Linked DNA regions of Alligator mississippiensis. The protein of the gene in region 3 interacts with the protein of the main gene of each other region in a pairwise test. Links are inferred from orthologs where the notes say so. Each region holds a gene or a part of one and is shown on either strand. Other genes may lie near its edges. The genes, in order: EIF1AD, NPM2, SDCBP2 and PTMS.

Region 1 (7,196 bases), on a different chromosome or scaffold from region 3:
TCTCTTTGCCATTTAGTACTTTGGAAACCTCTCTGTCCCATGGGCGACTGGTGCCTCCTAATACCAGTGGGGGGGACACCATCAGCCAATTGCTGACCAGGGTGGGGATCCCCCAGCAGCCAACCACCACCACGGGCAAAAGTGCCAGCAGCAAACCCCAACTGTCACTGGCACTTCTCTCGGAGGGGCACGTCTCACCAGTGCTGAGTCCCCCTCAAGTGTTTCTAAACTAAATAGGCTGGTCTGTCCATCATCCATCCACCCCATGCTCCATGCACCCACTCATCCTCTTGTGGGGGGGGATGATGCATACCATATATATTTGCAGGGGATGGATATGGTATAAGTAGAGAAAATATGTGCATCACAAGCAAGGAAATATGGCATATAACCCCCCCCCCCCCCAACATATATGTTATATTCCCCCCTACACACAAATATATACCATATATATATATGTGAGAGAAATATATAAACAAAAAATGTGCATTATAGGCAAGGAAATATGGTGCATATCCCCTCAACCCCTCCAAGTATACACTGTATATCTCTTCCCCTCACAAATATATATGGTCCATGTGCAGGGGGAAGGGGTGGGGGGAGAAGGGAGGACGCATACAATAAATATTTCAAGGAGTGATCAGTATTTATCCCCATTATATATATATGTGTACATATGCATGCGTGTGCAAATGGCATATATACCCCCCAGCCGAGAGCAGATCAGTCCACTTCCACCCTACCAGACCCCACCCCGCAAGGGACCAGCCTAGGGCCCAGAAATATTCACGCAGCCAAACATTTATTGTTCCTTTACAAAAAGACCTTTACAATGATGGTTTTGTCCCTCCCACCACCAAAAAATCCCCCCCTCCTCCATTCCTTCCCCCCTTACCGCCCATGGCCTAAAACAGCCCCAGAGAAAGGGCTAAAAAGTCTCCCCCCAGCATCACCTCTCCGGGAATAAGCTGGGAAAAGATTAAAACTCCCCACATTTAGGCTGGAAGGACACAAAATCCCACTGGGAAAGACATCAGGGCGGGGGAAAATTTACCGCAGCTTCCAGCTGATGGTTGGCGGGGTTGTTTTTCTTCCAGCCCCCTTTTCTAGCTAGAGAGCAAGCTCTTGTGGGGGGGAAAAATGGGTTGGTTTTAGGCACAAAGGGGTGTGATAAGGAGTGAATTTATTCTGGATGTGGTACAAAGGCGATGGTTCCCTCCCGTCCCCGCCCCCCCATGAGAACTACCAGGGCCTGATAGAGCCGGAGGCCAGGAGCCGGCAACATCTGCCCCTCACAAGAAGGCGTCACACCACTCCCGGAGGCAGCCAGAGCAGTCCCGCGATTGCTTCGCGTTGGCCCCGCACGTGTCCTTCAGCCACTCGCGGAAAAGCTCCTCATCCTTCCTCAGCACCAGGAACTGGCCAAGAACCACATAGGCCTGAGAAGGGGGCAACGAAACATGGGAGTTACTGTATTTTCCAACATACAACATGCACTCACCCCCCACCAACTCCAATGGCTGGAAATTGAGGTGTACATATTATAACTGGGGAAAGATGGTAAAGAGAGTGGGGGGGTTGGCTGCTTAAGGCAACTGAAAATGGAGAGGTGCATTATAAGCAGGAATATATGGGAAAACTTTTTTTGCTGCTGGGTGCAGGAGGAGGGGCGCTGGAGGCAGGGCTTCCTAGCTGCTAGCTGAGAACAGTCAAGACCTGGAGGCTATTCTTTGTTAGAGCTTTTAAAAAACAAAAAGTGGGTTATATTCCAGGGTGCATTACGCACAGGAGAGTACAGTACAGTGCTGCAGTGTTCAACCTCCAAGCCAGTGGCTAAATCATGCCTGTGGGGCTCTCCAAGGCTGGGGAAATTTGGCAGCGGGGCAGCAATGGCTACTGCACTGCCACCGCTCCCCGCTGCCCAAATCCTAAGCCCCACATGGCAGTTCAGAGCTGGACCATGTGCCCCCCATGGTCAGATGGAGATCTGGCCATGGGGGCTGGCTCAAAACCAAGTCAGCATGACCCAAGAGACAAGCCCTTCCCCACACATGGCGGGAACACAGCCAGGTTGTGCCCAACCCACTCTGCGTGGCTGGATGGGACCCCCCCACGGCTGTCCTGGGGGCCGAATTGGGTCCATCAGCCAAACGTGGCCCCTGGAGGGAGCGAGTACAGCCCATCCGGCCACTCGGATGGAAAAGCTGAGGAACGCTGCTATACAGAGGAGCAAGAATTTTATCTGAGGGAGCGTTATACATGAGAAATGACGGTACCTGCGCCCTGGAAGCCTACTGAGCCACGAGGCCAGGCACCAGGGCCCTGCCCCACCACACGCACCTTGTCAAAGCCTTTCTCCGCCAGCTTCTTGCCCAGGACCTCGCCAATGCCGGCCAGGCTGCCCACCGGCTTCTCGCCCATGGGCTCGGCCACGAAGTCCCGGTGCTTCTGCGAAGTGGACGACATCTTCCACGCGCCTCGGCCACGCCTGGGGGGAGCGGGGCCGCGTCAGGCTGCCCGTCTCCAGCTCCCACACCCCACCCGGCTGCCGACGGGGCCCCCAGACCCGCCGCGGGGACGTCCCCGGGGTTTGGGATGGAGTGCGGGGGGGCTGCAGGGGGGCGGACGCAGGCCGGAGCCTCGAGCCGCCGGCTGAGGGGACGGGGGCAGAGACGCAGCGACCTCATGACGGCCCCCCACCCTCAGGGAAGACCCCCAGCCTCCAGCCCCGGCAGGAGGACCGAGCGGTCTCCAAACAAGGCCAGAGCCTGGAGCAGCCCCTGCCAAGGCTGGACGGCACCTGCTGCTGCCCGTCAGGGGCGAGGCCGCGTGGGCAGCGCACGGCCGGGGGGGGAGGGGCCCCGCCCCTCCCCCCACACGGGGATACTCCCTCTGCCCTTCCCCCACCCCCAACACATCCCCGGCACCCCTGAAGTGCACCCCGACAGGCCCCGCCTGCGCGCCCGGCCGCGCCCCGCCCCCACGTGGGCGCCGGGTCCCGTCCCGTCCCCTCCCCCAGCCCCTGGCACCAGGCTCGCCCCTCCCCCCCCACAGCCCCTCCCGCTACAAACCCGCCGCCGCCGCCCACGACAGACGCCCCGGCCCCACTCAGCCTCCGCCGTCCCGGTCCCAACGGCCGCTCCCGCCCAGCCGAGCACCCACTACGCCTGCGCGCGCCGCCGCTTCCGGGAAGTGGAAGCTCTGCCCCGCCCCATTGGCGGGAAGGAGCGCGGGGCGGGAGGCGCTCTGGTTCGCTCTATGGTGCGTTCACTCCTCCAAACGTCTCTAACCATAGAGAGGGCGCCGTGAGTCACTCTATGGTCAATTTAGTCCTCCCACCCGCTCCTTCGCCATAGAAAGGGGGCGGGGGGGGGGCTCTGCTTCGCTGTATGGTTAGCTCAGTCCTCCAGGGATCTATAATCATAGAGGGGGGAACGCTGTGGCGCGCTTTAGGGTTTACCCAGTCCTCCCGCCCCTGTAACCATAGAGAGGGGGGCGAGAGGGGCTCACTCTAGGGCAAACTCAGTCCTCCATGTACCACGGGTTAAAGGCTACCCTGTCTGCTCTATCCCAGGATAACCATAGAGACCGGTTAGTGGGCGTTCTGGCTGCTCCCCCCCCGGCCCCCCGCGTCCCAACCATGGAGACGAGAAATGACGCTGGGGGTGCCATAGGGATGACAGCCGGAAGTGGCGTGGGGGCATCCGGAAATTGCCCGGGGGAGGGGAATCGAGGGGACACCGGAAGTGCCGCCAGGGGACGGTGATGGGTGAGACACCCGGAAGTGCCGGTTCCCACGCGGAGGGAGAGGCAGGAGCCGACCGCCCCAGGTGTGTGCGCGGGGGATCCCCGGACCCCTGGGTCCTCCCAGCTCTGCGGATGGGGGCGGGGGGCGGAGGCCTGCGATCTCTCTGGCCCGGCTGAGCCTCCGGCCGCGTTTTCCTCCCGTAGCTCAGCTCCCGGAGACCCCGGCTCCGCCCCGACCTCCCCCCCACAGGTAGGGCCCCATGCCTCTATGCCAGACCTGGGGGGGGAGGGGGGTCACCAGGACTGGGAACCCCGGGGGGGGCCGGGGAGCAGCAGGAAGGCTCCTGGCGCCGTGTATTAGGGGACTTAATGGGGAAACGGAGGCACGGAGGGAAGGAGCCGAGCTGCCCCGGTCTCCAAGTCTCTCCCCTCCCACCGCTCAGGGCTGAGCCATGTCCCAGGCCACCAAGCGGAAGCACGTGGTGAAGGAGGCGCTGGAGGAGCTGGTGGTGCCCACAGCCCAGCAGCAGATCGTGCGGGTGAGTGAGGGGCCCCGTCCCCCCCCACCCAGCACCAGCCACCCCCTGGCCCCGGGTGCAGGGAGTCTCATCCCATGACAACCCTGGAGGCAGCTCAGTGCTGCTCTGTCCCAGGACAAGTGTGGTCAGGGCTGGGGGAGCAGGGCAAGGACCGGCCCCTCTGTCTACTTTCTCCTAGGATAACCAGCACTTGTATTAACCCAGCGCCTGGAAGGAGTCACTGTGGGTTAAGGGCTTCCCTGCCTGTCGGCTGGATGCGCTTATCCCAGAATAAAGACGTGGGCAGGGAAGAGTTGGCATGGGGTAAGGGCTTCCTTGCTTGTGCACTCTGTTTTGGGATAACCTATGGGAAGGAAGGAAGGCGTTATCCCAGGTTAAATGCCAATGCCTTCCTGCCTCTGAGGGAGTGCTGGGCTGCCTATAGAGCAGTTGAAGGAGTTACCGTGGGTTAAGGGCTCCCTTCCTGTCTGCTTTATCCCAGGTCTGATACTAAGGCTGCTTATCCTATGGAAAGGAAGGAGTTACCCCCATTTAAATGCTGCCTTCTCCGTCCGCTCTGTCCCAGAGGAGGGAAGGAATTAACATGGGTCAGGGGCTTCCTTGTCTGTCTGTTCTGTCCCAAGACAACCAACCTTAGCATTAGACCCCTGGGTGAGAAGGAGTTACCCTGGGTTAAAGCCTCCCCTGTCTGTACGCTGCATCCTGGGATAATCCTGGCCCCTCCCCTAGGTTGTGGGCAGCCCCGGGAACAACCTGCACGAGGTGGAGGCACCAGGGGGCGGGCGCTTCCTGGCCAGCATGCCCCCCAAGTTCCGCCACAACCTGTGGATCAAGAGAGGTGAGTGGCTGCAGCACCCCTGGGGGTTGGGGGATCCCCACCACCCACTTCAAGGCAGGCCCCGCCCCCTCACCTGCCCCTCCCACCCTCACAGGTGACTTCCTGCTGGTCGATCCCATCGAGGAGGGCGAGAAGGTGAAGGCCGAGATCAGCTTCGTGCTCTACAAGGACCACATGCGCTACCTGCAGCAGGAGGGGCTCTGGTATGTGGAGAAACCGAGGCATGGGACAGGGCAGTGCCACCCCAACCTTCCCTCCCCTGAAATCGGGAAGATTAGGTCTTTATTTCAGAGTGGAGAAACTGAAGCACAGCAGACAGCAGCTCTGAGACCCCCCACTCCCACCCCCTCCCATGATCCCTCCATGGTAGGCAGTCCGCTTCCTCTCTGTCCCTGTGCTGAACTGGCAGGGAGGATTTAGACTTAGCTTCTAAGTGAGGAAACTGAGGCACAGGATGGTAGGCACCAGCCCCTCCCCCCCCACCACTGAGACAGGGGGAACACCACACTCTTAGCTTCTGATTCTGAGTGGGGAAACTGGGGCACAGAGGTTCAGGCAGCAGCCCTGGGACCACCCCCCACCCAGAACCCTTCCTGGCCATGCAATCGCAACTCCCACTTTCGCTTCAGCCTTAGCTTCGGAGTGGGGAAACTGAGGGATGTGGGAGCAGACACAGCCCTAACACCGCCCCCCCCCAGCCAGGCAAAGCTATCCCCCAACCTTCCCTCCACTGAAGGAGGGGCTCTTAAGTCTTAGCTTCTGAGTGGGGTACCTGAGGCATGGAGCTGCAGGCACATACAGGTTCTCTCCCCTTGCCTTATTGGGTTCAATGGGGCTCAGCTCTTGGGGGTTGGGGGGAGGATCCAGGGCACAGGGAGTTAAGTCCTGGGGAGTGGGGTGGTATGGCCTGGACTTGCCCCACTGGTGTCTTACTCCTTATAGCCCAGAATGGGGGGATGGCAATCAGGGCTGTGCGGGAATATAAGGGGTTAATACCAGCTGGGACTGGAGCAATGGCTGGTAGGGGGAGGGTCTGTACCCCACTAATTTCTGCCCTTGTCACTGGGATGGCTTCTACTGGGACCACTGGTTCCCAGTTGAAGGGAGGGGCTACATCCCAGCCCTCTCTTCCCCCCTACCCCATGTCTTACTATCCCTCCTTGCAGGCCTGAAGCCTTCTCAGATGCCCCCAACAGGCGGCCCAGCCCCCAGAGCAGGTGAGTGGGACCCATTGTACCTGGCCTAGGTGCCCCCCAGAGCTGGCTCTATCAGTTCTACTCAGCTGCTGCTGCTATGTCCCACCCCAGAGCCACCCGCATTCCAGCCCATGACATACCCAGCTGCTGGGCACCTCATCCCAGAGGTAGCTGGGGTTGTGCTGTATCCAGCCCCTAAGGCAGTACTAGGCTGTGGGGTGGTATTGGGGGGGGTGCTCCAGGTGCCTGGGTTCTCACCCTGTCTCTGGCAGGGTGGGGGAGCCGCCAGCCGCCCAGGAGGATGAGGACAGCGACAGCGACTTGTTTGTGAACCCCAATCGGCTCCGTGATGCAGGCACTGACAGCGAGGATGAGGACGAGGATGAGAGTGAGGAAGAGGAGCAGTGACCCCTCCCCACCACTGGGGCTGCTATGGACTCTGCTGGCAGGTGGGAGCCTCCCTGCCCCAGCACAAAAGATGTGGCTGCTTCTGGGGTGGGGCATATCATACAGATATGGCCACCTCTAGGGTGGGTGTTAGCAGCCAAGTGTAATAAGCTGCTGCTGCCTCTGGGCTGGGTGTAACACCCACACCGTAACCTTGGGGATGGGGTGCAAGCAGCTAAGTAGAACAGCAATGGGACCACCACTGGGGCCTTAAATCAATGCAGCTGGTTCTGGGGTTGGGGCTCATCAGCGGCCAAGCATAATGGCCACCTCAATAAAGACACTGGCAACTGCCCCCCTCAGTGGCCGTAAGCTCTGTGTCCCCTCCCCAAATGCCTGGGACCCTGCCACAGCTGGCTCTGGGGTGGGACACACCTCACCTATCCCCCATCCCAGCTTCTCTGCCATCACCCCCCCCCCCGGCTATTT
Region 2 (7,749 bases), on a different chromosome or scaffold from region 3:
AGCTACCCCTCCCAGGAAGGGAGGACAGTTTATGGTCCAGACATGCGAGCAGCACAAAAGTCCCTGCTCCAGCAGCAGGGTGTAGTGTACACAGGTGGGGGCTTTACTGCATTCCCATCATGCAGAGGTGGCAGTGGCCAGCTGGCTATAGTATTCTCTCATTTGGTTGAAGCAGAGGAGACCCAGCAAGTATTGCAGTCACCAGAACCAACACACACTGCATTGCCCTAATGTCAGTATTGGATAGACTAAACCCCGCTGCACCCACACTTACAATTAATGTGCTGTCCAGTGATGTAGACTGGGCCAGAGCCAGCTCTCAGCCGGAAGGTGACAGGAGGCGTCAGCTCAACTCCCACCATGGGGGCCTGGAAGAGACAGCAGCGATGCCGTGAGGGTGGGCTGATGGCAGGTTATGCCCTGAAAAGCTATGGTTGGAGACTAGTTGGCTTTGAAGGCCTAATGGGACTTTGTATCAAGTCCCAAAAAGCTGAAGACTGCATGGCAGTGCTCACCCCTCATGTGCTATCCTCCTCAAAGGGCTGTTCCCTCCACATTTCAGCATGCCTACACACCAAGTTAGCACTTCAGCTTGCTCAGACCTGGGCTTATCAGTGACCTGCTCTCCATCTCCAGGAGTCATCTAGATGCTCGATTCTGACCCAGCTTCCAGGCTGTGTAAATGCCAGCCCACACCCCCGCCTCTCACCATTGGCAGCACAGAAGGCTTCAAGGCAGCTAGGACTACAGGGCTTGGGTCCTGGCTGTCCTCTGGAGGGATGATCTCTACAATGTTGAGCTCATCATTGGTTTTCTCCCCCACGCAGATCTTTGGAGAGAGAAGAACAAGCCTTTAGCACTGTGTTATCAGTGGTGACAGCCTCTGCTCAGAGTATCCCCCAACTTGACATGCCCAAGGCCAAATGGGCTGCCTTCACTGCCTGGTGAGAAGAGACTTGTACTCTCACGGGCACATTGACAATGAGAAGACTCCACTTGCAGTCCAGAAGCATGGTATTGGAGAAGCCAGACCCTCTGCTTCACCCTATTCTGCAACTGGCTTTTTACAAGACAGGCTCCCATCCCATACACACCTCCCACCCCCACTTCAAAGCCAGTCACAAGGGCCCTGTCCCAAACATCCTCTGTGGGAAAGGATGGGCTAGGTACCTACCATCCGCAAGGCCAGTTGCTGCTCGTAGGCCCAGTCATCTGGCATCTTGAAGGTGCAGGTTGTATTCTCTGCGCTCAGTTCGCAGCCTGTGGAAGGGGGCAGAGATCAGCGATTAAAAAAAGAAATCAGATCATAAAGGCAGCTCACCCCACCTCCAGCATCACATGCTCAGCGTGAGTTTCACAGCACAGGCTTCTATCAAGGGTGGGATGTCTCAACAGGTTGTGCTCGCTATCCCCCCCCCAGCAAAGGGGACTAGGAAAGGAGAAGTGTTGGGAACTGCAAAGTGTCTCTGTATTCCCCCCCACCCCAATCTCCAAATGGCTTCTCAGTCTAGGAGGCAAGAAACCCTGCCCCTCAAAGGGTCTTTTCACTTATGTTCCTGCCTGGTAGACAGCATTAGAAGCAAAGATATTGTTTGCACTGCCGCTGCCATTGGCCAACATGAGCCAAGGAGACGCTGAAACACATCCATTTTGTGGGGGAAGGAAGGAGACAAGAGAAAAAGAGCAATTGGATGCACTCCAGCTAGCCTTGCCTCAGACCAAGCTGAGCATCTACACCTCAGCTGAAGGTGGACTCAGCATAGCACGACTGGCAACGCAGCGTGCTCCAGGGAGCAGGCCCTTAGCCCCATCTCACTCCAAGGATTTGTTGCACCTCTGAGAAGCAAAAGATACTAGACACCTCAGAGGCTGCACTTTGTTTTAGCCAAGACCTGAACGACTCAGAAGCCACCAAGATTTAGCTCTCAAGAAGACTCTCCATGGAGACACCTCATTATTGCTGAAGCCTTTCTTTATAGGAGTAAGTGGAGGTTGCAAGTAGGGAAGATCTGAACAAAAAACAAGACCAAAAACAACCACAAAAGAAAAAAAAAAAATCCAACCCCCCCAGCAGATTTCTGGAACAGAGAAGGCCGTTATGGGAGAGAGGACTGGGAGCAACAGCTTTAAGTAGTGTTAAGGAGACAGCAGAAATAACCTGAGCACTGATCACCAAGCGCTTCTCAGACACTCAGGTGCAAAGCAAGCAGCTTCTTACCCCAAATCAGAGATATGGGCTTCTCCAATTTACTGTCACTGTTGATACTGTTGGTAAGAGCCATTGTTTCCAGAATCTACCTTTTCTATGAAAAGAAAAAAAAAAGGCACCATTACTTAAAGGAGTCTCTATTCAGCTGGAAAGGCTTTGCAATGACAGAGCAGCAATTGCATCTATGAAGGTGGGGGGGGGGGGGGGGTCATCTCCTGGTTTAGTTCAGTTAGGAAGCTGGATTTTCCTCCTCCGCACAAAACAAGGAGAACATGAAGTTGTTACTCACAAGTGTCCCTCCTGTGATTGCTCTTAGATGCTACCTACTATCCTTCCTTCACCCCAAATATTAGAGCTGCAGTTTGAGAGCTCAGGAACACAAAGCTCCCATTGTCCAGTTTCAATCTTTGTCCTATGTAAGTGGCTTTCTGAGTTACTGTTACCTACTGCCTCTGACCACATCTCTGCTGAAGAAACCAGCAGAACAGCCCCTGTAAAAAAGCATTTTGGGGAACAACATGGAGTAACCAACCTCATGCATCCTTCTCACTTAAGGACTCAAGTCATACAAATGATCAGAAAATGCTTTAAAGGGGAAAAGCAGAGTTTACTGATATTTATGCTTAACAACTCACTTCTCCAACATAAAACCACATACAAACCACCAAAGAAAAACCCCTCTACACAGAAAGGGGCTATGAATACAACCACCTACCCCAGCAAGCAGCTCATATAAAAAAACAACCCTACATAAAAGACCTAACCAACCCTGCATACAACCATCCTCTGGACCAGGCATCTTATAAAGGCAGAGCAGGTGAGCCGCTCAACCATTCATTCAATTAGCCTCACCTTGCTGAAATTTGGTCTTAAAGGGAAACAGCCCTTTCTCTTCAAAGACAGGAGATTCCTTCAAAGGGAGGAAATTTGGCCAGTGGAAACACAGTCGTGATTGCTATCATCCAGCACTTTCTGTAGTACAAATGTGAAGTTAAACCCACAGATCCAAGGTTCGGCTATTCCAAGACAAATGGGTAGAGAAACCCCCCATTAAGTCTGGGAACCAAGGTTTGAGAATACAGAAACCTGAAAGGTAGGGCTATGCAAAATCCTCCCAGGGGTGCCCAGGGCATCCCAGCACTTATATGTCTAGCTTAGAAAAGAGTCAGATATATGCAGGCAGTGGAGCTGTCTGCAGCTCTGACGGGCTTGGTCTGTGCAGTGGAATCGATTAGGCACCGAACTGGGACTCAGGAGCCTTGAGTGCCATCTTTGGCTCTGCCACTGAGCTGCTGGACAGTCTGGAGTCATTCAGTTCCTTCCTCTATGCCTCAGTTTCCTTCCCCCCCCCTCCCGGCTGTCCGTCTAGTTGGACTTTAAACCAAGCAGGGCCGGACACCTCCATACAGACCCTGGAGCAACAATCTCAGTTGTAACCCTGCCATTCCACAAACAAACGGCAATGACCACAATCCCCTGGCGTGGCCGGCTCCGGGGGCCTTGTGGTTTTGTTTGCACATACACGTGTCAACTGTGCTCTCGTTGAGAACGGGGCTGGGGCAGGGACCAAGGGTTGTGGGGCAACCCCCGGAACAGGGCCTGGCTGGGGCACGGCCTGGGCTTGTGCAGTGTGGTTTGGCAGCCATGCAGTGCGGTGTGAGAACTGCACAGTAGTTTTTGGGAGCCCTACAGTGCAGCGTGGGAGCTGTGCAGTGCAGCACAGCAGCTGTACAATGAGGCATGGGAGCCCTGCAGTGGTTTGGGAGCCCCGCAGTGCAGCAGCGTAGCATGGGGGCGATGCAATGAGGCGTGGGAGCCGTGCAGTGGTTTGGGAGCTACGCAGCGCAGTGTGGGAGACTTGCAGTGGTTTGGGAACCATCCAGTGCAGCATGGGAGCAATGCAATGCAGTTTGGGAGCCATGCAGTAGAGTGCGGGAGCCCTGCAGTGCCGTGTGGGAACTGTGGAGTACAGCGTGTGAGTCATGCAATCAGGCATGGGATCTGTGCAGCGATTTAGGAGCTGTGTAGTGCAATGTGGGAGCCCTGCAGTGGTTTGGGAGCCATGCAGTGCAGTGTGGGAGCTGTGCAATGAGATGTGGGAGCCATGCAGCGCAGTGTGGGAGCCGTGCAGCACAATGTAGGAGCCACGCAATGATTTGCAATGTAGATTGCGAGCCTGCAATGAGGCGAGGGAGCTGTGTGCAGTACGGTGCATGCGGGGCAGCACGACCCAGGGGCGCAGCGCATGCGCACCCCCTCCCCTCCCCTGGAACGCCGGCACAGGCAGCTTCCGGCGCGCCCGGAAGCGAACCCCCGGAGCACAAGGGGCAAAGGTCAGGGGTCACAGGCAACATGGCGGCTGCCGGCGGCGGCCTGGGCGCCCTGGTGAGGCCCGGCGGGGCTGGGGGAGGGGGCTGCGGGGCGGCGCCGCCCGGGCCCGCCTGAGCCGCCGTGTCTTGTTCCCCGCAGGGCCCCGGCGAGGCCGCGGCCGCCGCCCGCGCGCTGTCCCTGCCGGCCGAGGCCTACGGCAACGACGTGAGTAGCCAGGCGGGGGTGGGTCGGGGCCGGGGCCGAGGAGGCCGCACCCCCTCACCCCCTGTCCCGTCCCGTCCCGTCCCCGCAGCCCGGCGTGGAGATGATGTGGGCCATGAAGGCGGCGCAGCACGCCGAGGTCTACTTCAACGTGAGTGCGGGGCCGGGGCCGGGCTGCCTGCTTCCCGCCGGGGGGGGGGGTCGAGCGCGCTGCTGCTCGCAGCTGTCGGGACCCAGGAGCCCGGCCCCGGGTTTTCTCCCCTTTCCCCACCCCCCAACAGCTCATTTCCTCGGTGGACCCGACGTTTCTGAAGCTGACCAAGGTGGATGAGGAGATCTACGCTGCCTTCCGGGAGCGCTTCGGGCGCCTCAGGATCGACGTGTTGGAGCCGGAGGAGCTCAAATCGGAGCCAGCCAAGGAGGTTGGTGCTCTGGGCAAGCTGCAACGGGGGCGCGGCGTCGCCCCAGGGGAAAGTCTTGGGCTGGAAGGAGGGAGAAGGCTCAAGGGGGGGAAGCGCCACAGCGGTCGTGGCGTGGGACGACGCAAAGCCACGCTGGAGACACGTCTGCCGTGAAGGGATTCCCGACTGTGGGTGCTTTCTGGCTTCGCCGGCATGCTTGTTGTTCTCCCGAATGCGGGCGAGGCATCGTGAGCAGCAGGCAGGTTCGGGGACATGGGATCTGAGGGCCGAGAATGGGCCCTGCTTCATCCGGCTGCCCGGAAGAAGTTTACAGCCCCGGCTCTTCTGTCTCTAGAAGTGGCGTCCGTTTTGCATGCAGTTTGAGGGGGTCGTCGAAGACTTCAACTACGGCACCCTGCTGCGGCTGGACTGCAGCAAAGACTACACGGAAGAGAATACGATATTTGGTGAGCAAACCGCCGCGTACAACCTGAGAGGAAGGCCTGCCCATGCAGAAACTGGGCGCAGATTTCTACGTGGCACTTCTAAATAGAGTGCCAGGTTGTCCCTAGCTTGCTCCTGTGGCCATATGGCTGAGGGCAGGCAACACTCGGGGGTATCCGAACTCTAAGCCTCCAGACTTGGGCCTGCATGTAGGATGCCCACCGAAGGTTTTGGAAACATCTGAAGCCTCGGGCATGGGTGGAGGATGCTTGCCTGTAGTAGGGCCACATATGGTTCTTGAATGACTCTGAGATCTGGAATTGATTTAGCTGATTTGACTTGTCTTTAAGAAAAAAATTGTCATGTCAACACACAAAAACCAAGTTGTTCCTCAGATACTGAACCAAACCTAGACTCAGCACCAAGTTATAGACTGTCTGCTCTGCTGGTTAACCCACAAAAAGTGCTATTTTAAGGGGTAACTGTTGCAGAAGAAGCTGTGCCCTGCCACACCTAGAGCCCTAAGTCTTGGAGCAGTTCCCTTCTGGATTAAAAAGGCTGCATGTCTGTGCATGAAGGGGGCAGTAGTAGAAGCTTGGAAGAGCTGTTGGGAGGGGAAGATACCTTACACCACAGAGCTGCTATAAAGATATGTTTATTTTCTCCTCCTTTTAGCCACCAGGATCCAATTTTTTGCCATTGAAATTGCTCGAAACAGAGAGGGTTACAACAGCGTCATCTACAACTCAGCCACCCAGAGGAAGATGGCTGCTGCAGTGAAGGCAGCTTGTGACCATGGGTAGAACAAACCCCTTCTGTACACTGGATGGGGCCACTCCCTGCTGCAGGAGTGTTAACAGTTGCTCTGAAGCTACACGAACACGCAGCAACTGAAGGGGAACCTGACTTAGAGATCAGCTTTTGCTCTGTGCTTTTATGGTGCTCAAGTGACCTGAAGTGCCCTGTCAATAAATGGTTGTGACTTAAATCTTGCTACATACAGTGGGATGGTGGAAGCACAGAATAGCATCCCCTGGCACCCTGCACCAGTAACCTGGGAATCAGCAGCCTTAAATCTGAAAACAGCTGAAGAACTTCTCACAAGGTATTGCATCTCCCTGGAGCACTGCTCTTCTCTGGTGTGGTTCTTCCTAGACTTGACAAGCCTCCCGTGTCACTGGGATATACTGCAAGTTAATCAGTTTGAAACAATAAACCACAAGTGTCCATATCATCTCCAGTTGCAATTCTGGGCATTCTTTCTTTACTAGACAAGTTCTGTTAGGGCAGTATTTTTTCCTACCTTTCCCCCCCACCCACCTTTTCTTCATTATAGATGAAAGCAATAAGGGGATAAGATACTCCCTGGACACAGTAGCTGCTGCTGGCTTGTGTCTTTCAAAGGAAAGGAGTGGGCTAAAGAACTTAGGGCCCTGTGTTTGCATATCAGTTCAGGCCTTTTGTCCCCTGCCTCCCTGAGGCTCAATAAAAAGTGAATCTGTACAGGTTTCATCAGCATCTAGTTCATGGTCAGAGGCATCCCTAACCAGAAGACCCTGAATATTAAATCCACTGGCAAAGCCCTTCAGATTTGAAGGGGCTGCTGATGCAGAAGAGCTAGCAGTAGCAGCAGAGCTCTGTTCTGCGTGAGTGCAGTTACTTCAAGTCCTTGCCAACAGTAGAAAAAGGTGGCCTCTGCTCTGGTATGTGAACTGGGAAGAATGCCCTTGAGCTGGAGGCAAGCTGCAGGGTTGCTCGTTCAAAATGAAAATGAAGCCAAATTACTCTACTGTCAAAGCAGCTGCAGAGATTCTTTCTGGGTTCTGGTTTAAGTTCAAACCATAGTTTCAAAGCAGTTCAACAGGTATGGGTTCATGCTCTTTAGTGTTAAGGAACAGAGCTTATTAAAATATTTCAGATAATCAACTGATACCTCCAAGACAGGGAAGCTGTGAGGCACAGCTGAATAATCTGCCATCACAGGCCAAGCACCTAGGCCTGATGGCACTGTCCAACGAAGTCTTGAATACAAACCTGTCCTGCCAGTAACACCCATGCAGACTCCCTGTGCCTGAAAGTTTGCAAAGAACAATTTTTCCAAATATTTAGTTGGTCTAATAAGAAGATACCACATGTACCCCAAGAACCTTGTCTGCCAATAAC
Region 3 (7,385 bases):
CGTCTGTGTGCGTGCACGCCTGCAGGTGTGCATCTGGGTGGAAGGGGTGGGGGTCTGCACATGTCTGGACCTGGGGCTGGTGTGTGCACACGCATGTATTCCAGCCACAGCGGCTTTCCAGGGGTGCGTGGGAGGGGGCTGGGCTCTGCTGGGGGGTGGGCATTGGGCACCGAGCCCCCGGGGGGCTGGCACGCCCCACAGAGGCTGTTTTACACGCCCGAGCACAGAGCCTGCATGCCACGGGGGTTAGCCACTCTGCGGCTCTGCCTCCTCACACCCAGTCGTCACACACGCACAGCTCTCATACACACCACTCTCTTGCACACACTCTGATCTCTCACACACACCTCTCATATCTGTCACACACACATGCACGTCTCTCACATACATCTCCATCCCACACGTCTCACACAACACAGCTCTCTCCCTCACACACGCCTCTCACACACATACACATCGCTCTCACATGCATGCGCACACACGTCTCATCTCGCACACCGACACACACGTCTCTCACAGCACCCACAGATCTCTCGCAGACATGCATCTAGCTCTTGCTCTCACACATGCACACACACGCACGCACGCACACGCTCCCCACGTGCCGCTCCCAAGGTGACTCGGGCTCCGTGCTGCGCCGTGCCCTGCGCGGCTGCTGGCCTTGCTGCGCAGGTGTTGGGTGCCGGTGATGCCGTGCACGCCCGTGGCTTGGCGCAGCGTGACTCAGCCCGGCGTGGCACTGCAGGGTGCCCCTAGTCCCGGCACAGGCTCCTACCCAGGACAGGCCCCCCGGCCGTGCCCCGCAGCCTCGGCCGATGCCGCAGGCAGTGCATTGTTCCCCGAGCCGGGCTGGCACCCAGCCCCGGGGCCACGACCCATGCCCCACCCCTGGCACTGGCTGGCATGAGTGCTCCATGAACGGCAGCCTCTGTGCCCCTGTCACCGGCTAAGCCCAGGTGCCGGGCCTGCTCCCCGCAGCTGTGGGGCTCCCGGGCCGGGAAAGCACCCGCTCAAGCCCGAGTGTCTGTAACCTCTGGGCACCAGGGTCCGCACGCCGGGGAGGGAGCCTGGACCCCGCGCAGCCAGGCAGCCCCCTCCCCTGCCTTGCACCCGCCACACGGCAGGCCCACGGCGGGCACCACGCTCAGCCCCCATCACAGCACACGCTCTAGGCACAGATCTGCCCGTGTGCCCACATTGCAGGGACTGCAGACCCCACACCCGCAGGCTTTGCACCCTCTAGTCGGAGTGACCGTGCCAGCACCGAGCTGCAGACAGGCCACGTGCTTGGAGATTCATCCTGTGGAGCGGGTGGGGAGGTTGCAGCCAGGCCCAGCTACCTTGGGTGCTTGGCAGTGGCTCCCTTGAAGGCCACGAGGTCCGAGCCCAGCGTGGCTGGCAACATCTCGCTAGGGCAGCAGAGCGGGGCAGTTACAGCCGGGAACTTGAGAGCAGCTAAGTGACATGACCAGGGCCCCACAGGGCCCCTGTGGCAGAGCAGGAAGCGGAGCGTCCCAGGTGACACCCTCACTCAAACCACGGTGTGACAGGGGGACACGCCGCGACGCTGCCCCGTTCACAGCGCGGTGGCATGGCACGTCCCGGTCGGACAACTCAGAGACGTGGCAGCGCCGCGGGCTGGGGGCTACTCCAGCAGCCGGGGCAGGGTGCTGAGCTCGGCCTGGGGAGCTGCGGACCTGACCCTGCAGCCCGCTCTGCAGGCAAAGCCACCCGGGCTGCGGAGGGGAGATGCCTCCTCCCCTCCCCATGGCTCCTCCGCTTCCCTCGGGTCCGTCTGGGGCACCTGGGCCAGGCTCCACCGCCGTACGCAGGCGCAGGCCACGACCGATCGCAGACTCATGGAGGGGGGTTGGCAGGGACCTCGGGGGTCACATCTAGTCCAACCCCTGCTCCAAGCAGGACCAGCCCCAACTCCATCATCCCAGCCAGGGCTTTGTCTGCCAAGGTCTTAAACACCTCCGAGGATGGAGACTGCACCACCGCTCTGCGTAACCCCTCCAGTGACCCTCCTCATGAGAGTTTCTCCTAATATCCAACCTGAGCCCATTGCTCCTTGTCCTGTATCTGCCCCCACCGAGCACAGCCCAGCTCCGTCCTCTTTGCAGCCCCCTGCCCCAAGGGCACAAGGATGCTGGGAGGGACCTTGGCTTTTGGCACCTCCAGAGCCCACAAAACAGAAAGCGCCATCCTTGCAGGCATGGGACGAGCCTTCGTCTGTGGGTTCGCCCTTCCCCAGAGCCTCCCCTGCGGCCCGGGGCCGTCCAAGGCCCGGCCTGATGTCAGCCCGGGCTAGTCGGAGCAAAACAAGCCCCAGCCTCCCCGTCGCGGGCTGTGGTTTCGGGCGAGGCACGGAGCAAGGCACGGCAAGCCCAGCTCCCGGCACTGCTCAGCACCCCCGGCCCGCAGCGCCCACCCACGGGTGACACGCTCCTTGTGCCCGGGCTGCAAACAGCAACCCCCAAGCACGCTGCTCACCTTGCAAACAGGCTTCCCTTCCCCGGGACGCTCTGCCAGCCCGGGTCAAAGCCCACTGGCTTTATACCAGCAGGGCTGGCAGCCTGGGAGGGGCCCGTCTCCATCAGCTGACTGGCAGTCACCGGCCGGGAATGCAGGAGGCAAGCAGGTGACAGGTGACAGAGGGAGCGCGGCCTGGCGAGGGGGCCTAGGACGTGCCCCGAGCCAGGGGTGCACCAGGCGCTCTGCTTGGGGGCACGGAGCGGGTCTGATCCAGAGGATCTATTTGCAAGGGCTGTTGCTGCTCCCTGCAGCCCCCTGCCAGGTCTCCAGTGCTGCAGCCGGGTCCTGCTGCCCTTCTCCCCCCGCCGGTGCCCGAGCTGGCTGCAGAGGGAAGCACGAGCCCCCGCCAGCCCCGGTGCTCGACAGGCTCCTGCCACGGCCGGCGGGCGCTTCTGCACCCAGCGCACAGTGATGTCACGCTCCCCTCGGCGGGGACGTGCCGTCCCGGCGGCTCAGCTGTGATGCTTGCCGTTGCCATGGCACCGGCCTCCTCCACGCATGCGACACGCGCACGGCGTGGGAAGCACGCCCACGTCAGAGCCGCGGGGACAGTGACTCAGGGACGCCTGAGTCAGCAGCAAGCCTAGGCCCTGCATGCCTGACGCTTTGGTGGATGCTCTAACCACTGAGCAATGCTGCAGCCAGGGCACGGGTCCGAGCAGGTGCACGAAGCCCCGTCGCGCGGAGCTGCTCAGGCCCCTCCACCCCCGTCACCGGCCCCCGGGCACGCGGCCGTGCCCGCTGCGACGCCAGGGCAGGACAGGAGTGCGGGCAATAGGGCAGGAGGAGGAAGAGGAAGCAGAGCTCCCGAAACTGGCAACCGAGTGACCTTCGCCCTCTGCGGCAGGCAAGGCCCATGGCACCGCGCGCAGAAGGCGCCCGGGCTCCAGCTGCAGGCGAGGCCCCGGTGCGGATGCTCCCCCGACAGGGTTACCCCCATCCCGGAGCATCGTGCACCGGTGCCCAGTATCCTCAACCGCTCCGCGCGGAGCTGGACGCAGTCCAGACCCGCCTCCCCCTCCCGAAACTACCAGCAGCCCCACCTCTGCCCCGGAGCTGGGAGCGGAGAAACCGGTTGCTCCGATTGCAAAACTCTGCGGCGGAGGCCGAGAGAGATGACGCGGGAGGAACGGCCCTTGCCTGCTGCCTGGGGCCAAGCCCCGGGGAAGCCCGGCTGCGTCTCTGGGGCAGCGCTGGCTGGGGCAGGAGGTGGGTCCTTGGGGGAAAGCACCTGGGAGGAGTTGCCCGGTGGCAGGCACCCACCTGAGGATCTCTGCATGCCAACAACACCCAGGGTGCAACACCTCCCCCCGGTCTCATTGGCTGAGGGAGCTGTCGATGAGCCCGCCCCTGGTGCCGGCATCCAGGTGAGCTCACCTGTGCAGAATGCAACCTGCAGCCCCGCCAGCCGTTGCCCGAGCGCTCGGTATTTCCCTGTTGATGGCGTTGCCAAAGCAGAGGGCACCTTAGCAATCGTCACACCTGACGCTGAGCACGCAGGCCCTGCCCGGCCGCCTCCGCAGCGCCGTCTGGGATCCTGAGCCAGCAGCAGAGCGGGGTGCCAGGGGCAAGGGCAGCAGCACAGAGACTTCATGGCAAAGCGCTCCAAGGCAGCGCTTCCAGGTGGGCAGGGGGTAGGAGCCGACCCCAGGCACCTGCAATGCTGCTCCCACCCAAGACACGGCACAGGTGCTGCGGCCGACTGCCACTGGCCGAAGGTGGGATCTTTTGGGGAGCAAACGCCCCCCCCCCCGCCTGTCCCCTCCGCTCCCACACGTGCAGCAGTGGCCGGGAGTAAACCTGACAGGCGCTCGCCGCGGTGCCACCCACACCCGTGCCTAGCGAGGGCTGGGGGAGCCGCAGGCAGCAAGCGATGACTCACGCAGCATTTTAAAGCCGGAACAAAAAGCCCCTCGGATGCGAGCCGGTCTTGTGGGCATCAAAGCCGTGGCAGGTGGGGTGGGGGGAGCACGAGACCTGGGCACATGCACTGCCCCACAGGCCAGCAGCAGGCTCACCATCGCTGCACATCCCTTGGCAGGAGGAGACCAGGCTGACCAGCTTGTTTCCCAGACCCGCTTTCCCCCGAGCCCAGACGTAACCTCAGCCGCCCTCCTGCACGATCAGCTCCCCTTGCAGAGCAAACCCGGGCCCCAGCCCAGCTCCACACGCATGAAAAATATCAAGCTCCCTGGTCCCCCTGCGGCCCTGCTGACCCACGCAGGGAGACAGCGCGGAGGATGCAGGCAGAGCTGGGGAGAGCCTCGCTCCCTGCCCAGCTCTCCCAAAGCAAGCAGTGTGGCCAGGCCCCTGCAATACGCCCGGCCGGGGGAAGTTTCTGCCCAGGCATCGGGTGCTGGTTACCTGCTGCCGCGGCGGAGGAGATGCAGACGGCGTTCTGAAAGATGAGCTTTTTAAGAGGTTTAGGGCAGTGCAATGACAGCTGGAGGGACAGGCAGTCTCCCAGCACAACTGGGACGAATCCAGACTCTTGCTAAGGGAGACCAGGCAAGCTGCCCCCTCCAGAAGCCCGCAGGCCGCAAGAGCCGGTGCCCAGACTGGCAGCCCCGGGCAGCGCGCCAAGGGCACAGCAGCAGAGAGGCGAGTGACAAACCTGCGAGAGGCAGCGTTGAGAAAAGCCAGCATAAAGCACTTTTATTGCAATCATAAAACTCAATACTCTGATGTGGCGGTGGAGGAGGAAGCGATGGCAGCCATTCCTCTTACCAAATCACGACGCGGGGCAGAGGGAAGGGAAGGGAGCCGAAGTGACGCCAGCGGAGGTGGAGCCGTGCACCGAACGGGAGGCCGCGGCACGCGGTGATGACCAGCATCAGGTTTGGCGCGGGAGCGCTGGGGTCTCGTCATCCCGGCGACGGCGGGGGCGCCAGCTTTCCGCCGCGGGCTCGTTCCTATCGGTGCCCCCCCAGGAAACAGCCCCTTCCGTCCACGTACAAAAGGCCCCTTGCGATGCTGCAGCCTATGTAGTGGTGGAGCACGGATGGCGAAAGGAAAAGAGACCCTCAAAATCCAGGAGGAGGAAGCGGGGGGAGGAAAACAACCACATGCTGGTAAAGGCAGCAGGCAGCAAAGGGGGCAGGATACTGCCCGCTCTGGGCACCGCCAAGGGGGAAGTGCTGGCGTGGTGGCACCACCCTGCCGGGAAGGGAGCAGGAAGCTACTTGTTCCCGTGTCTCAGTCCCAGGCAGGGAAGTAACACCGCCAGCCAAGGACCCCTTTGCTCCCCAGAGTCAGTCAGCCCTTGACAGCTCCTCGCTCTGCTATGGCTTTTGCAACGGCAGCGGCAATCTCTTTGTCATACACAACAGATATCTGCATCCAAAAAAAAAAACAGAACAAAACCAGCTCCCGACATTTCCTTCGCTCCAACGATCCCTAGCACAGGTCGCCCCAGGGCGCACTAAAGCCGGCAACACAACCAGATGAAGAGCTCGCCCAAAAGGGGGGGGGGGGGGAAACAAAAAAAACAAAACCAGAAGAAAAACCCCTAAAAGTTGAGGTTTACGGCGTATAGTTTAAAAGACATAAAAACACAATACAAGGAGGAAGAGTCAGAGGCAAAGCTGAGTGACCAAACACATTCAATCAAGGTACAGGGTTATACAACGAGTGTAGTGGAATATCAGGAAAAGCTCCGTACAAAGTCATGTGCATTCTTCTTGAAGCTGAGATTCTGGATTCCTCCATGTGCCAAACCTGGGAGAGAAGGAGGAGGGAGGGGGGAAAGATGGTGCTGAGCCGATGCCACCTGCGGACAGCTGGCAATGGGGTGCCAGCGGCCTGCCCCTTACGGAGGGACGCGACGCCCCACCTGCTCAGCACGAGGGGCTGGCTGCAGCCGGATCCGCAGGGTGCATCGTTGCCATCACCCCCCTTGCATCTCGAGTCTCAGCCCAATTGCCCCGCACCCGGGACCTGACACCTGCCTCCCAGGACCCTGCCCCAGAGCCCCCCACCTACCCAAGGACAGGGAGCGGGGGCTGGGCGCCTCCTGTCATTCCAATTTCATAAGCTCCACGTCGAAGATTAGGGTGGCGTTGGGCGGGATGATGCCGGGGTGGCCGGTGGAGCCGTAGGCGTAGTCCGGAGAGATGGTCATCTTCGCTCGCTGGCCCACGCTCATCTGCGGGAGACACAGAGCACAGCTGGCGGAGGCAGCGCGGGGACACGGCACGCCAGTCTGAGCCCGGCTGTGCCCGCTGGCTCAAACCTGCCTTGCGGAGAAGCCTCCGGCGCCGTGCAGAGCCGGGCTTCGGGGCAATGCTGCAGCACGCAGCTGGCACAGCCTGCCCTGCTGCGCCAGGCCACGCTCAGCCCACACGCCCTCTGGGGCAGGTGCTTTGGGCACCACGCTGAGCACAGCAGGGCCCGTGCCCACAAAGCTTGACAGTAGTGCAAGCAAACACCAGACAGAGAACCACCGCAGCGCCGGCCGGGGACGCGACAGACGGCCGAGCTGCAGGAGATGCTGGAGGAAGCGGCTGTCCCCCCAGACGCAGGGCAGCCCGTCCCTGGGAGTGACCAGCTGGCCACACAGCGGGGTTTTCCAAGTCTCCACTCCTGCCTCAGGTATGTGCGATTAGGGATAATTAACAGCTAGTTAATTAGCAGTAAATGCTCCCTAGTGCAACCCTTGCCATGCTGCACCTTGTCCCAGGCTGTCCCTGCAGACATGGGTGTGTTCTCACGCACCCAGGTGCCACCTTCTTCTTGCCAAGGACTCGGGAAAAGGGGTGGCACTGGGGACTGCTGCCCTGTAGCCCAGCTAAGAGATCCGTGCCAAGACCCCTCTGCCTCAGCCCAAGCGGGCACCTCCTCCCTCAGCA
Region 4 (7,342 bases), on a different chromosome or scaffold from region 3:
TCTCAACATGCATCCTCTGTCATCTGGCTCCCTTAGCACTAAAACCCCCTAGATTCCCACAGAACTGTATCACCCACATAACTTCTGGTCTCGCTCTATTATTACACAGACCACCCTACTGCCTGAAACCCTCCTGAAATCCCCAAACTGTTCTTCTTCCTTCTCAGTCTCTACAGTAGTGATTCTCAACCAGGGTGCCATGGCACCCTGGGTTGCCATGAGATCCTTTTAAGGGTCCTGCTCAATATTATCACTGTTAGGTGCGCAAACACCTAGGCATGATTCACAAGATAAACCCAGAGATTTCAAATAGGAATCCATAGTGTCAAAAACATTTTGACCCATTTTTTTTCTGAGTTCCTTGCAACAGAAGAATTTCTCTCTAATTGCTCCCCACAGTCAAGAAACAACAGAAGGTAAGAGCTGTTTTTTTCTAACAGGTGCCTTGAGGTTGTAAATTAGTGCTTTACAAGGTAGTTCCCTTGCACCTTTTTCCTTTTCCAATCTGCTATTTCCCCAACCTGGACCAGGCTCTGCACTCCCCCTTCTTCCTCCATACCATCTCCTGTTCACCCGCACCCTTTTCTGCCATCTACCTTCTCCTTGCTCCCTGGCCTATATCTCTGATGGTCCTTCTCCTCCTCCTGGTTTGTACTAACCATGCATCCCATCTCCAAAACTCCCTCACCTAACTGGCATTCAGCTGCCACCTGCCTCCCTCCTAAACTGCAGTAGCCTGCCCTTCTCCTATATTCCTTCTTTCTGTCCCAAGCTACCCCTCCCCATGCCAACTGCCTCTCTTACTGCCAAAATCCTCCTCCAAACATGCATCCCAAAGAGAGACTACATTTGGCCTCACCTCTACTACTTCTTTCTTCTTTTCTTTGTGAATAGATTTCACCTCCAGTTTTTCCTTCTTTTCTTTCAGGTCCTAAATATAGAATGAAAAAAAATCATTCCAAGATTTGATACCTGGACACATAGCACATTGGCACAAATATTATTTATATCAGTTGTGTATGCCAATGGAAATTACACCAAGGAGTGTGGTTCCACCAAGATGCTTCAGGGAATATACTTATATTCAAGTATCCAAAGCCACCAGTTTATCCCAAGGTTGCTGCCTGCACTTCACCACCAGGTGGAAGGAGAGCAGCAGTAGTCTGTTCATAGCAAAGGGATAAGAAACGTAGCTTTCTACTACACAATACTGAAGCCACTATAACTTACGGCAGCATTTTTTTACTCCTGATTTTTCCCCCCAAGATAATTCTACACTGGATTCAAGTATATTACAACAGCATAAGGCTGTATGTCATTATGTGTGCTGCTTGGTTACACCAATGTGCCTAAGCCCACAGTGGCAAAGAGAGTGAAAGGATGAGACTGTTAAAGTTGAAAGCAATGAGGAACAAGAGAAGACATGGCAAAATAAAAGAAGTAAACAAACAAACAAAAAATAACAATTAGGGCATTGGACAGAGGGACAGACAAGGAAAAGGAAAAGCAGCAGATTTAAACCTGAGGAATGGAAATGTTTCACGTAGAACCCACAATTGGCAAGTAAGACCTAATCCCCATAGGATACTACACAGAGACCAAGAGATTTTTTAAAGTGGATCAGACACATACGGAAAACAACAAAAATCTAAGAGTTATATTTAGACAGGAGAAACTTTAAGATGGTCGTAATAAAACACAAATTCCAGGGCTGGACAAATAGGCCAACCATTAGGAGGAAAACGGCAACCCCTGTTGGAACCGATGCCATAACTGTCCACCAGGGGGGTCCCGCCGCCTCCCCAGGCTGCCCACGGCCAGAGCCCCGACTCCGGCCGCAGGACGTAGTGGGCTGGTCCTATCAGGCCATTCCTGTCACCAGCCGTGTGGTCTTTGCCAGAGAAACTTCCCCGCCCCCGGCACAGAAAAACCCTTGCTCCAGTACCAAGTTCAGGGCAGTGTCCCTCGCAGAGGGGAGGGCAGGATCAGCTCTAGTGTCCTCTGTCTGACCGGGAAAGCCCCCTCTACCCTCATCTCATTCCCCAGCCCTGGGAGCATCCCCCCCCCCGCAAAGCAAGCCCCGCAGCCCTGTCCCCGCCTCGGAACGTGGGGACCCCAGGTTTTCTCCGTTGGGAAAACACCTTCCCAAGCTCCACTGTCCTTGGGGAGCATGCTCCAGGCCAGCAAGGAGTCCACACACACGGGGCAGCGTTTTGGGGGAGAGCAGAGCAACTCAGCCCCTGACCTACTCGGGCTAGGAAGAAAGACCCGAGCGGGTGACACACGTTCCCCAGGGCCTTTCCCGCCCGCCCCCAGGCGGGCCCCGCCTTTGTCCCGCGCCGGCGGGAGAACGTCTGTCAGGCACAATGGCCCCATCTGCTCCCTGCATCCGCTCTGCCCCGCGCCCCTCCCCTCTCCCTCCCCCGCCGGTTCCCAGAAAAACAGTTCAAAGAGCGGGGATGTTTCTCCAGCAGCGCGCACACACCCCGCGCACCTCATCCTTCGCACCCCGGCACGGCGGGGGGCAGGCGAGGGCGGGTGGCAGGGCAGCGCGTGCCCCCTCCCCGGCGGGGCGGGCTGGGCGCGGCGCGTCTCACCCGCTCCCGGCCGCGGGCGGGGCAGGTGCAGGCGCGAAGCGGGCACGCACGCCGCCCCGCGCCGCCGGGGCTCACCTTGGCACTCAGCTCCGGCGGCGCCTCCTCGGCGTGCTTGTCCGACATGGCGGGCAGCCGCGATGCCCCTCCCCGGGCTGAGCGGGCGGCGGCGGCGGCACAGGGGCGCGGGCGTCCCGCGAGGCGAAGGGCACGGCTACAGCGGGGGCCGAGAGTGCCAGGGTCGCCCGCCCGCGCGGGGGGGACGATGCCCGGGAAGGGGATTTATAGCCCGGCCGGTGACGAGAGAAGGAGGGACCGGGGGAGGGAGCGGTGCCGGGAGGAGGAGGAGGGAAGAGGGAGGGAGTGGAGCGGAGCGCGCCTCCCCGTGCCCGCCGGGGCTGGCGCGGCGCCGGGCAAATCAGCCGGCGGGCAGCGCCTGGCGCCCCTGCCCGCCAGCCCGCTCGAGACCTTGGCCCCGCTGCTTTCCCTGCCCCGGAGCGGGGCGCCGGGACACACGAGCGCGCGGCGGGAGGGGGCCGTCAGCCGCTGGCTCTGGCCTGGGCCCAGCACCCCTCGCAGCGGCCAGCTCTCCCGCACGGGGCCAGACACGCGGTTGGGGCTCGGCAGACGGCACCGACCCCCCCGGGCCGCACGCTTGCCCGGGGCCTTCCCTTCCCTGCAGCGCCCCGGGGTGGGGGCACGTGGCAGCTCCGCCACGTGCCAGGCCAGCTGCGCGCATGGGGCAGGCGGCGGTGGCGGCGCTCCAGGGCCCGGCTTGGGGCCGCGGGCTGCTACTCCCTCCTCCCTGGAATTTTCCACTCGGGCTGCGGCCCCGCTGGCCCCGCGCCCGGCCGCGCCCGGCAGTCACGTCCGGGGCCGGACCCAACGCGGGAACCAGGGGGGCGGTATTTTTTCCCGCGCTCTGGTCCGCGGTCCGGGTGGCGCTCCTGTGCAGGCTCCGAATTCCCCATATAAGGAGGGAGCAACGGGCTGGCAGCTGATTGGGCCATTCAAATGAGCCGTCCGCCTGGCAACAGGGCGCTCATTGGCCGTTGGGGGGAAAAAAAATTACGCAATGAGGGAAAAGGCTGAAGGAGACGGGTCTCAGAACGAGACCAGCTGGAGGGAGGGGCGGTTCCCGTGGCAACCGGGGAGGGGCTTGCGCCACGTGGGGCCGAGGGGCAAGTGCGTGAGGGCCTGGGCCCTGGTGGCAGAGCGGCTGGGCCTGGGCACCAGTGTGGCCGGGGGCGGGCCCTTTGCTCCGCTCGGACCCCTGGTGTCCTTCACTGCGGGGTCACCCCCGCCCGCCTGTGCTGTGCGAGGTGAGGCCAGCTGGTGGCGGGATGGGGAACAGCCCTACTGCCCCATCACTGCTTGTGCGAGAGGAGCAAGAGGGACCAGGTATCCCTCTCCCCACATTATGAGCAGCGCTCCCGCCTCCATTCATTTCACATCTCCTTATATTGCAGGAATAGCGAGAGGCCCACCAGGCCCTGGCCCCAGACAAAGGAGGTGATGCAGTCGCCGCCACAAAGGGCCCGCCGCGGTCTCCGTTCCCGCTGGCCCTTGGAGAGGGCTCCACCTCGGGTCTGCAGCTATGAGCCCAGCCCACCCTCTGTCCCTGGGAAGCCACAGGCAGCAGCTGCACCGAATCCCCGAGGCTTCCGGGGAGATTCAGGTCAATCGCGTTTCTGGTTCATCCAGCAGGCAGCTCAACAGAACAAGGCTGAGCAGGGGTGAAACAAAGGAGCTCAGGATTAGGTGTGCAACACTGACACCTGCTGTCTATCGGAGAGAGTTGCACTGGCTGCTCTCCTGTCTAGACCAGCGGTTCCCAGCCTGTGGTACAGGTACCAACCTCTCAGTGGTACGTGTTAACAGATTTATAATCACTTTATATAACAGAAATCTGCTGGTGGTTCTTAAGGTTGAACTGGAAACATTTGCTGGTGGTACTTAAGGTTGTATAGTTTTAAATTGGCGGTGTGCAATCTGTCTAAGTTTGGGAACTGCTGCTCTAGACTGCAAGTTCAGATGTCAGGCTCGGAGGAATGCACGGTTGCCACTTCAATTCTAGCCCCCCTGCTGGGGGATGGCATAGCAGGGAGGGAGATGCAGAGCCTTCCTCCACAAGCGCTCTGCTTCTACAGGCACTGGGGTCAGCTGATGTGGTCCTAAACCTCCCCAGGGAAAATTGTTCCCCTCTGACGGTTGTTTGAGAGGAGTTGTTGGCTTCTAAACTCTGTCCTAATGAAATAAATGTCCCTGCCTCCGCATAACAGGCACTTCTTGCCTCTCTTGTTAGCTTCATCTGGCTGAATGTCACAAGGGCTGTCCCTAGCTGGAGAACAAGCATGCACATTGCACATCCAAACAGTCATAGAACCCATACACAATGCACATCAAAACCCAGGTATATTGACCAGCATATGCGCATGCATGGGGATATGCGCGGGGTGTTGTACACAGGGAGCAAAGGGGACAGATTTTAGGGGCTCTATGCTTTGCTAACTCACTATGTTAGAAGGTATCCATAATGTAATGCAGCCTCTACCAGCTCAGGTATGCAAACACACAGAACCAAGGTTGAGTATTTTTACGTTAGAAGGTAATGTTATGAATATACGTAACCCATGAATGCCTCACAGAACCACGTATTACACAAGTCCACGCACACCTGCACATAAACACATGTATGTATACTCCCTTCCCCAAGGGGTTTACACACTAAGAATATAAGGCAGGCACTCAGACAAAGAAATTTGCCAGATGTGCAATAGCTATTTCTTCTGTTTCCCCTTTGCATAACTCTCTTCCTGTCAGCCCCTCCTGTGTCCAGCTGCCAGTCAGACTTCAAAGACTTTGCTTTGCCTGAGTGTCCTCTTACTCCTATCCCCCTCCCACAATAAAATACTCATCCTTGATTCTGGAGAAATGCACACCAGAAGCCAGAACACCCTAGTATTCATAGACAGCGACTCCCCTTCCCTCCAGCAGGGGGAGTGCCTTGCTCAAACCACAAGACTCCAGCCAGCAACCTTGTTGTTCAGCCCCTTGATCCCTCTCTGTATGCAGCAAGCACACACAGACAAATGCAGAAATATAACACACAGACACAAACAGAGATACAGACAGAGACATTCTCACGCTACTGCATGCACAAACGCATACTCAGACACAAAGGGAAGCTGCATTGAAATCAGCATCGAAGACAGTGGGAAGAGGCGCACATGCTTTTTGTTAGTGATGTCATTGTGCCCAGATGTCTTGATGAATGGCGCATGATACCTAAACGGATATTGATACACAAAGAGGCACCTGCTTACATCAGGGTATTGTGTCCTGTCCTCGCTAAGATGGAGCCGTTTGGTCAGCTACACAGACTGATATGCACAATTTGTGACCCCCCCTCCCCAACACTTCATTAATGTCCCTCTCGCCATTTCCCATCTGTAATTCCCCTCTGCATCCCATCTACAACTCTGTCCCTTCAGTTCCTCTCCCGTCTTCTGAATCATAGCTATGCCTCTCCTCTATGCCGTGCCTGACCTTTCCCACCCATGTCTCATCTGCAACACCTACCCCATATCCTGTTTTCATTTCTCCATGTCCCACCTATGCCCACTGTTCCTAAATCAGATATGTGACTGCCTTTGAACTCCGCTGTGACATTTCACTCCCTTCTGCATTTCATTTGTGCTCCCCCTCTATATTAAGTCTGTGACACTCTTTGGCCTACAGTCTGTGAGTCCTTCATATACATTCCATGAATTATTCCCTTCAGGCTCTCACTTGTGACTCTTGCTTTTAGTCAGGTTTGTGCCTCTCCCTGGGTTCTATGCTGCTTCCCATTTTTAACTTTTCCCATTTCCATGTCCTACCTGTGACTTGCCCCTTTCCTCATCTGTGGCTGTCCCAACATCCCATTTACAGCCTCCCCACATGCCTTCTGTAACTACTCCATGTTCTGTGTGTGACTCCCCCGTGTCCTGTCTGTGACTATCCTGAGTCCTAGACTCCCCTAGCATCACACGTGGAATTTCTCCTCATCTACCTTCTTTGGATCCTCCCTCTTCCTGTGACTCCTTGTGATTCATGTGTCCCATCTGCAACTGCCCCCATCTCTAGTTTCCCCCAAAGCCTGTTTTCAACTCTCCTAGATCAGTGTTTTTCAACCCAAAAGTGGATCGCAAGAATAAATGAAAGTATCATAAACAAACTTTAAAAATGGATTCTCCTTTAATGCAGAAAAACATGGGAAGCCGTGGCTTTTCCTTTGCAGGATGGCAGAGTTCCAGCCTGCAAGGGGCTGCTTGGGGGTGCCCATGCTTCACACACTGGGGGGCTGGGGCCTGGGGGTGGAGGGCAGTGCATCAGGAGTGAGAGGCACTAGGTCAGAACTAGCCATTGATGTTTACAAATAGGTCCTGGTACAAAAAAGGTTGAGAACCACCCTAGATCCTATCTGTGATTCCTCTGCATTTTGTCTGTGATCCTCCAGCACCTTGTTTTGCTCCTACAGTGTTCTGTCTGCAACATCCCCATACTCCGTCTTCCTCTCCCCTAGTATATCCCATCTGTGATTGCCCCATGCCTGTCTGTTGTCTATGACTAATCCATGATTTCCCAGTTTCCCATTTTCAATCCCTCTCCTGTTCTGCCTCGGCTTCCTTGTCTCCTGTATTCCATCCATGACTCTCTAAGTCCTAGCTGCAACCCAAGTTACTCCTGCATCCCATGTGCTACTT

The links.
Region 1: the proteins of SDCBP2 (region 3) and EIF1AD interact in a two-hybrid assay, tested with the Homo sapiens proteins (3 studies listed by BioGRID and IntAct). The two-hybrid records come from large-scale screens. The link is inferred for Alligator mississippiensis from reciprocal best matches to the Homo sapiens genes SDCBP2 and EIF1AD.
Region 2: the proteins of SDCBP2 (region 3) and NPM2 interact in binary tests that used the Homo sapiens proteins (3 or more experiments, as listed by UniProt). The two-hybrid records come from large-scale screens. The link is inferred for Alligator mississippiensis from reciprocal best matches to the Homo sapiens genes SDCBP2 and NPM2.
Region 4: the proteins of SDCBP2 (region 3) and PTMS interact in a two-hybrid assay, tested with the Homo sapiens proteins (2 studies listed by BioGRID and IntAct). The two-hybrid records come from large-scale screens. The link is inferred for Alligator mississippiensis from reciprocal best matches to the Homo sapiens genes SDCBP2 and PTMS.

What each region holds. Positions count from the first base shown.
Region 1 is NC_081838.1:4,500,200-4,507,395, reverse strand, and holds EIF1AD (probable RNA-binding protein EIF1AD), read left to right. Parts: upstream 1-4,196; 5' UTR 4,197-4,199; coding exon of another isoform or gene 4,200-4,286; intron 4,287-4,464; 5' UTR 4,465-4,584; coding exon 4,585-4,589; intron 4,590-4,767; coding exon 4,768-4,873; intron 4,874-5,015; coding exon 5,016-5,124; intron 5,125-5,218; coding exon 5,219-5,327; intron 5,328-6,290; coding exon 6,291-6,341; intron 6,342-6,592; coding exon 6,593-6,728; 3' UTR 6,729-7,061; downstream 7,062-7,196. Other genes in the region: BANF1 (barrier-to-autointegration factor), read right to left, coding at 1,293-1,439, 2,341-2,466.
Region 2 is NC_081830.1:18,887,975-18,895,723, forward strand, and holds the start of NPM2 (nucleoplasmin-2), read right to left. Parts: upstream 3,007-7,749; 5' UTR 2,925-3,006; intron 2,701-2,924; exon of another isoform or gene 2,499-2,700; intron 2,304-2,498; 5' UTR 2,283-2,303; coding exon 2,219-2,282; intron 1,261-2,218; coding exon 1,175-1,260; intron 830-1,174; coding exon 710-829; intron 369-709; coding exon 275-368; intron 1-274. Other genes in the region: protein PBDC1, read left to right, coding at 4,423-4,542, 4,679-4,744, 4,833-4,892, 5,023-5,163, 5,498-5,609, 6,262-6,389. UniProt on the Homo sapiens protein: Core histones chaperone involved in chromatin reprogramming, specially during fertilization and early embryonic development. Probably involved in sperm DNA decondensation during fertilization.
Region 3 is NC_081832.1:2,012,322-2,019,706, forward strand, and holds the start of SDCBP2 (syntenin-2), read right to left. Parts: upstream 3,005-7,385; 5' UTR 2,497-3,004; intron 1-2,496. Other genes in the region: peptidyl-prolyl cis-trans isomerase FKBP1A, read right to left, coding at 6,554-6,682.
Region 4 is NC_081824.1:243,755,484-243,762,825, reverse strand, and holds the start of PTMS (parathymosin), read right to left. Parts: upstream 3,014-7,342; 5' UTR 2,721-3,013; coding exon 2,673-2,720; intron 932-2,672; coding exon 860-931; intron 1-859.